Linked DNA regions of Drosophila melanogaster. The protein of the gene in region 2 interacts with the protein of the main gene of each other region in a pairwise test. Each region holds a gene or a part of one and is shown on either strand. Other genes may lie near its edges.

Region 1 (3,565 bases), about 12 Mb from region 2:
TCGGCTATGACCGCTGAGTACAGGTGTCCAATGTGAGGAGCTATTTGTTAAAAATTATTTCTTTTTATTATCCGTAATATTGACTGATTTGGTCTAAAATGCTTACCTGCATTTACATAGAAAATTGGAGTTGTCACATAGTGCGAACTGTTGTAGCGAGTTCCCAAATATCTGAGGCACTTAATTCTTCTAATAAGCATCACTTTAAAAGCTATTTTAATATACAAATAAGTAAAAAAAAAAAACGTCTAAACAATTTGCCGGTTGATTTTATAACATTGAACAGCTGTGCCACCAGTGCTGCCCATCACTCGGCTAACAGTGCACGTAACAGTCTCATTTGACATAGATGCACACTTAACAGCGTAGACGCAAAATTTAACGGCTTAAAATTTTAAATTAAATTCAAAAGAATAAATCAAATATTTCCATGCAAATTAAACTTATTTAAATATATTTATTTAATACTAACAAAATTATCGTGAAACATTTTAATTTTTAGTTATAAAACCATTATCTTTTAATAGGAAACTTATTAAACCGAAATCGAAACGTAACAAAATATAGAAAAGATCAGTTGATCCCCGAATTCGGTGCTAGATTTTGGCTGCCTGCGCCGGAAAACTTTCCGGCCATCTTGCGCGGACCCCAGCGCACCTGCTGGCGGTGGGTCATTCGACGAGACCTCTGTGCCTTCTGCTTGGCCTCCACTGCAGCACAGGCCGCTTTGTAGGCCGCCTGCTTGGTCTTCTCGAAGTCCGTCTTGGCCTCGGTCATCTGGCGGGTTAGATTCTCCACCCGGTGCTTGGCAGCCTCCAGGAGCTGCGTCTTCTCGGCCAGCTCCTGCTGCGCTCCACTGGCCACGTTCTCGATATTGGCCAGATTGGACGTGGCGGCTATCACAAGGTTCTTCAGCTGATTGAGTTGCGATTGGGCCTCGTGGGCAGCCGATGCGGCGGCATTGGCATTCGCTTGGGTGTTTTGTAGGGACGAGGTCACCTCAGTGACAACCGCATCCGCCTCGGTCATCTCCTGCTGCAGCTGTTCAACAATCTGCTGCTTTCCGGCCAGTGCCGCCTCCGCCGCACGAGCGGATTGAGCTGCCTTGGCGGCCAGTTCGTTTTTGACCTGGGATGCAGCCGCCTCGGCAGCTGCCATCTGCGAATCGCTGGCTGCCTTGGCCTCCTGGGCGGCTTTTTGGGCAATGTTGGAGGCCTTCTGCTTGGGATCTCCGCGACCAAAGACGCCGGTTCCGCTGCTGCAGCCAACCCCTTTCTTCGAATTAGGTTCCCCACAGCCTTCGGATCCGCCTCCCAAACCGCCCGCCCCACCAGTTCCATCGATGCTGGCATCGCCGTACAATGCGGACAGGCATTGCTTGTCATTCGTTTCGGCGGGTCGGTAGTGGTAGCTCTCCAGTCGAGGGAACGCACGCAGCAGTAGCAGGACGAGGAGCAGCGCTTTCGTGCCAGGCATATTCCGATCAAATATTTGGAAACACTCGACGCTGACTCCATTCGGAAAGCCTGGTTTGACTGAAAAATTACCTTCTCTTAGCAAAAACAATTCGGAAAAACTACCTCGGATATTTGCCTTTCATTAATTTCATTGTTTAGATGGATACAACATATATGTATATCCTACATCCAGCAGCTATGAATAGTATTATGCATCTATTTAATTACATGCTCGCAGTATATTTTTTATTATATTGATATAATATATTATTTTTAAAAAAGTAGCATTATAAACTTTACAAAAATATATATATATGTATAAAATTTAAGTGATAATGGCTAATATTGATCGTTTCTAGCTTGAAGAGGATGCAGAGCTAATCGCCCTTTGCATCCTTTGAGCCTTTTGCTTGGCCTCCACTGCCGCACAAGCCGCCTTATAGGCAGCCTTCTTGGTCTTGTCGTAATCCTGCCTGGCAGCGACCACTTGTCTGGAGATGCTCTCCACTCTCCGATTGGCCGCCTCCAACAGCTGCCCCTTCTCATCCATCTCCAATTGGGCACCATTAGCGAAAGTTTCAATGTTGGTCATTTGAGCGGTGGCCTCAGCCAAAAGGACTTTCAGTTGGTCCAGCTGAATCTTGGCTTCGGAAAACGCTAACATGGCAGATTCTGCGTTCACCTGTGTGCTGTGGAGTGAGTTCTTAACCTCGTCCACAACGGCCACCGCCTCCTTTTCCTCCAGCTCCAGTTGCTCCATGATCTGTTGCTTGCCAGCAAGAGCTGCCTCCGCGGCTCGAGCAGCTTGGACCGCCTTCTCGGCCAGATCCTGTTTCACTTGGAGTGAGGCTGCCTCTCCGGCGGCCATCTGGGCGTCATTGGCCGCCTTGGCGTCCTGGGCGGCCTTAATTGCAATGCTGGAAGCCTTGCTCTTGGCATTCTTTTGGCTAAGGCCACAAGAATTTTGCACAGCAGAACTTGTTTCACACCCTTCCGATGATCCTCCACTTGCAGTCTGCTTCTTTTCGCTTGCTGGCTCATACAATCGAGCCACAACAGGATCCTTGTTCAATGGCGATGAGAAAACAAATTATAGACTAGGACTTTACCCACAGATTCGAGGGTTAGGACTCACCGAGTCGCTTATCATGATTATGTGGCTCCGCGAAACGCAAGCAAGGCTAAGCAGGAATAAGCACATTGCCTGGCAATAGAGCATAATCTCGATTTCCGGATTTGACAGGCATGGCATCTCCATCCGATTGACAGTCGGAAAAATGCTCGAGACAACGGAAAATGCGGATAGACACTCAGATCATGTGGCTAATAATTGTGTTATCCTCGCTCCCGGCATCCGCTACTGGCAATCATTATCGAACCCGCCGAAAGCCAATGCAGACGGAGGACTCAGACCTGATGAGGAGTTTCGCTGGTGGGCTCGGTGGCGGTGGTCCTGGTGATGGAACCGTGTGCGACATGTCAGGGGAGGATAGCAACTCGCCGGCAAAGAAGACGCGAAACCATACTAATGCCAAACAGCGATCCTCCGGAATCGCCGTCCAGGCGGCCAACGAGGCTAAAAAGGCAAACGATGATATGAAAAACGCCGTTAAGGAGGCCGCTGATAAAATCAAAGGTGAATACGCAGACAAGGCAAACGCTGCGGCCAAAGCTGCCGAAGCAGTGCTGTTCGGAAAGAGTCAGGTGCTGGAGCAATTGGAAGCGGAGGTCAGGGAGGCCGAAATGGTGGTGCAGGAGGAAAACCAGGAGCTGATCACCGCCGAGTCGAATGCACAGCTTGCCGCCAAGACGCACCAATTGGTCCAGCAGGAGCTCAAGACACTGACCATAAGCCTCAAGTTGGCCAAGGACATTAAGGATGCCTCAGATCAAGTATACACAGTGTGGCAACAATCGCTCGCCGACAAGACGGCACTATTAGAGGCTGCCCAGCGGCGGGTTAATGTCCTAATGCGGCAACTTAGCGAAGCTCGATTAGATTACGATAAGACCAAGAAGGCGGCACTAAGTGCCGCCAAAGCAGCGCAAGAGGCCAAACAGCGTATAGATCAATCGGAGTGTGAAGGCGGTTCTCGTGGCAGAAGGGG
Region 2 (4,003 bases):
ATTTTCCAACTGATCTAGCTGAATACAAGAAATTCATCTGCATTCTCCATTCAAAATAATACGAATACTACTTACCCGAGCGAATATACGTAATACTATATGAAGTTGTGGTTCCAAAACTGGCATAAAGGGATTTGCACATGAAAACCCTTTGCATGTGTGTCCTGTCCCACTACAGAAATGCAAATTATCCAAATCCCCCAAAGGTCTGTTGCCATTTCGATTGCGGCTCGGCTGTTGCTATATCGTCCTGTTTATGCCTGATTAAAGTCAAACAACAAACATATTCTGAGCTGCATTTACCAGACAATCGTATAAACATATACACATGTGGTCATCAGAATAGAATTTATTAGTTGGGAGATCTACAAATCTGCCAATTATTTTAAGCAAATTGTTTTTACTCTCCTTTAACGCAAACAACTTTTATTTATTTAGTTAGTAGCCCTAATTAATATATTACCTGCTAAGTAATACTTGGAACTATTGTTTTCCATACAAATATATAATCCCGCATCTCTGGCCCGAAAAGTCCTCTCTAATCTATGCAGAGAAATGCTTGACAGTGCCTTGTTGTGTGGCTCAACTTTGGCCCCAATCCTAAATCCTTTGTGTCCTTCGTGGCCAGGATTTGCTTCTCATTACCAAGAAGCCCCCATTGTTCGCTCCACTGGGAGGAGCACGTGTGAGAAAGGTTGATGGCCAGGGACATGGGTTTGTGCAGTTTGGTTCTCGCCTTCTCCGCTCCCAAATTATGCAAATTGCTCGAAATTTTGCATTGGATAATTTCCCTATTTGCCCGTAATGCTCAATAAAAAAAAAAAAAATACAAACACAAAAAACATTTTATGACCCAAGAGACCAACGATGGCAGCAAATGGCTGAGCAGAAAAAATACTGAACAGTTGTATAAATGCACCAACAAAAATAAAAATAATATAAAAACAGAACAAACTGCGACGCATTTAATTAAAAATGTAATTACCCATGCTTTTCAACAGCCACATTGCTCGAAGCGGTAGCCAGAGGCTATGAAAACATTATTCGGAAAATTGTTGCAAATTTAATTGTTAAATCCTGCTATATTTTACTGCGGTGTTACTGCATCACGGAGCAGTTGTAGTTTTTTCCATTTCACAAATTTATCTTACTGAAAATGAGTTTAAGAACCATGTCAGAAAAGAGCGTGGGGCAACTAACAAAAAAAAAATTTTAAAAAACTAACTAGTAATCTTTTGTTGTCAATGCCTTGAATTTTCCACAATTTCAGTCTAAATGGAAAACTGTCAATGAAAAGACAATATTTAAACACAACTATTTTCGAAAAACTAAATTTTAAAATTCATCTTTTCGGGAAATCCAAATTTTAGCCCAAGGTATACTTACAATTTGCCATGGATGACTTTGATTTCAGTAGTCCACCTCCGGAGGTACGAACAGTTCATACCCACACGCTGAATGATGAACAGCTCAAGGATTGTGAGGCGGCCTTCGCCCTCTTCGACGACGATAATGCCAAGGTCATTCCGATCAAGTTATTGAGAGATTGCCTGCGAGCCGTGGCCCACAACCCGCCGGAAAACGAGATACAGGATTATATAACCGAAATTGATACGGATGGATCCGGCGAGCTTTATCTCAGTGATTTCCTATACATCATGTCGAAACGGTACGAGAATTTGACCGTCGAAGATGAAGTTATCCTCGCTTTCAAAGTCTTCGACAAAGATGGATCTGGCTTTATACACGAGAATGAGTTCCGTCAGATAATGACTGAATATGGCGATGAAATGGAAGAGGACGAGATCGAGGAAATGATACGTGATGCCGACGCCAACACGGAACTGAAAATCGACTACGTTCGCTTTGTGACCATGATGATGGAGACGTAACACTCTCTTTGAAAAATAAAAAACATAACCGATTGTAGATCTAATCAATAAATTTCAAAAGCATGGCCAATGGAATCGAAGATCTTGAAATATCGGATACCACCAGTTTGGACTATTCTTTAAAAAAAAAAAAAAGCCAATATACAATAGATAAAATGATAACAAGAGTAGGCTTTTCTTGTTATTAAATTATAAATATGAAGTTGTGAACTAAAGTTTGTCGAAAATTTGTAGTGAGTGTTCAGTGACCCCAAAATTTTCCCACCCCCAACCCCTTCCTTTGGCCATGGATTTCGAATTCCTTACTCCGCCGCCAGAGGAACGGACCATTCGCACCCACAATCTGACCGAAGAACAGGTCAAGGATTTGGAGATTGCCTTTTCCCTGTTTGACGACCAAGACACTAAGGTTATTCCTATAACAAATCTCAGGCAACTAATGCTGTCTGTGGCCCACTATCCCAGTGATATGGAATTGCAGGAAATTCAGGCCGAGATCGATGCTGATGGATCCGGTGAGTTATATCTCAGCGATTTCCTTCACATCATGTCTCAGAGGTACGCAAACATGTCTACCGAGGATGAAATTATAGCTGCATTCAGAGTCTTTGACAAAGAAGGAACCGGCTTAATATCTGAATCGGAATTTCGTCACATAATGCAGAACATGGGGGAGCAATTGACGGATGATGAGGTGGAGGAGATCATCCGTGATGCAAATTCTGATTTGGAAGGCAATATAGACTATGTGCGATTTGTCAGAATGATGTCCACTACATAAGGAAAAAGCAGGCTTTAGGGGTTGGGAACCCGACCTGTCAGTATCAGTATCATCAAAACAGTTTCGGCTCATTCCCTTTCGTAAATTCCAACAGTCTATAGCTCTGCAAGCATTTAAAAATATCTCGATAAATACCGAAAATCTTTGAAAATTTATCAAGATGTCCGAACTAACGGAGGAGCAGATTGCCGAGTTCAAGGATGCCTTTGTCCAGTTCGACAAGGAGGGAACCGGCAAGATCGCCACCCGTGAGCTGGGCACATTGATGCGCACCTTGGGCCAGAATCCAACGGAGGCCGAGTTGCAAGATTTGATAGCTGAGGCCGAGAACAACAACAATGGCCAACTGAACTTCACTGAGTTCTGCGGTATAATGGCCAAGCAAATGCGGGAAACTGACACTGAGGAGGAAATGCGTGAGGCATTCAAGATTTTTGATCGTGATGGCGATGGCTTTATATCACCAGCTGAGCTTCGCTTTGTGATGATCAATCTGGGCGAAAAGGTCACCGACGAGGAGATCGATGAGATGATTCGCGAGGCTGATTTTGATGGGGATGGCATGATCAACTACGAGGAATTCGTATGGATGATAAGCCAGAAGTAGTACAGCTACTTTAAATGAAATAAAAATATTTGGGGTCACTGCATAAAAAAAATCGTGTATTTCTCTTCAAAAAATACAATTTACACTTCTCTGCGGTCTAACTATTTTCGAACACTTTTTAATACGCCCCCAATTATTTCAATTATATTTTTGCGGTGTGCTAGTTTTTCCTTTGCCTAATTCGGAGACCGAGAATTTTTCAAGCATGTCCTGCTCTTAAAAATGTTTGATGAAGGCACCCCATTTCGGTAATTGTGGTTGGTTTAAGGAATTTTCGCCTCGCCTTCTTCAGGTGAAAACTTTCAGCATGAAACACTCGACGTGGTTTTAGTCCGCCTTTTCGTTTCCCTGGCAAGTGGTTTTTGCTTCCACATGCGGCACCTTTGTGGCCAGACGAACAATTTTCCTGTTGCTTAAATTCAATTTGCTTATGCATTAAAATTAAATTTTACTGTGGCCTCAGCGGGCCCGGCTCGTACTCCTTGCTGGAAGCAACCTCTTGGGGTCTTTGGGGCTTGTGTCTGACTTTATAAATATTTCGTGTGTGTTGTGTACGCGCATGTATGAATTTTCAATTTTTTGAACAAGTTTCGGTTTCAGTTCAGACATGTCAAAATGTCAACTTGCTTAATTGAGAGTCCGCAAAACATCGAGCATCGCATCGCATTGCATCGCATTGCATCGAATCGAATCGAATCGAGACCTTAACTTCAATGTGCATTC

Evidence for each region.
Region 1: the proteins of Acam (region 2) and CG14840 interact in a two-hybrid assay, tested with the Drosophila melanogaster proteins (2 studies listed by BioGRID).

What each region holds. Positions count from the first base shown.
Region 1 is NT_033777.3:14,259,708-14,263,272, forward strand, and holds CG14840 (uncharacterized protein), read right to left. Parts: upstream 1,507-3,565; 5' UTR 1,477-1,506; coding exon 574-1,476; 3' UTR 501-573; downstream 1-500. Other genes in the region: MetRS-m (Methionyl-tRNA synthetase, mitochondrial), read right to left, coding at 1-40, 107-200; CG14841 (uncharacterized protein), read right to left, coding at 1,813-2,520, 2,593-2,709; CG14839 (uncharacterized protein), read left to right, coding at 2,754-3,565.
Region 2 is NT_033777.3:25,809,811-25,813,813, forward strand, and holds Acam (androcam), read left to right. Parts: upstream 1-2,100; 5' UTR 2,101-2,178; coding exon of another isoform or gene 2,179-2,673; 5' UTR 2,674-2,833; coding exon 2,834-3,280; 3' UTR 3,281-3,324; downstream 3,325-4,003. Other genes in the region: CG5024 (uncharacterized protein), read left to right, coding at 1,395-1,892; CG17770 (uncharacterized protein), read left to right, coding at 2,179-2,673. UniProt on the Drosophila melanogaster protein: May be involved in calcium-mediated signal transduction.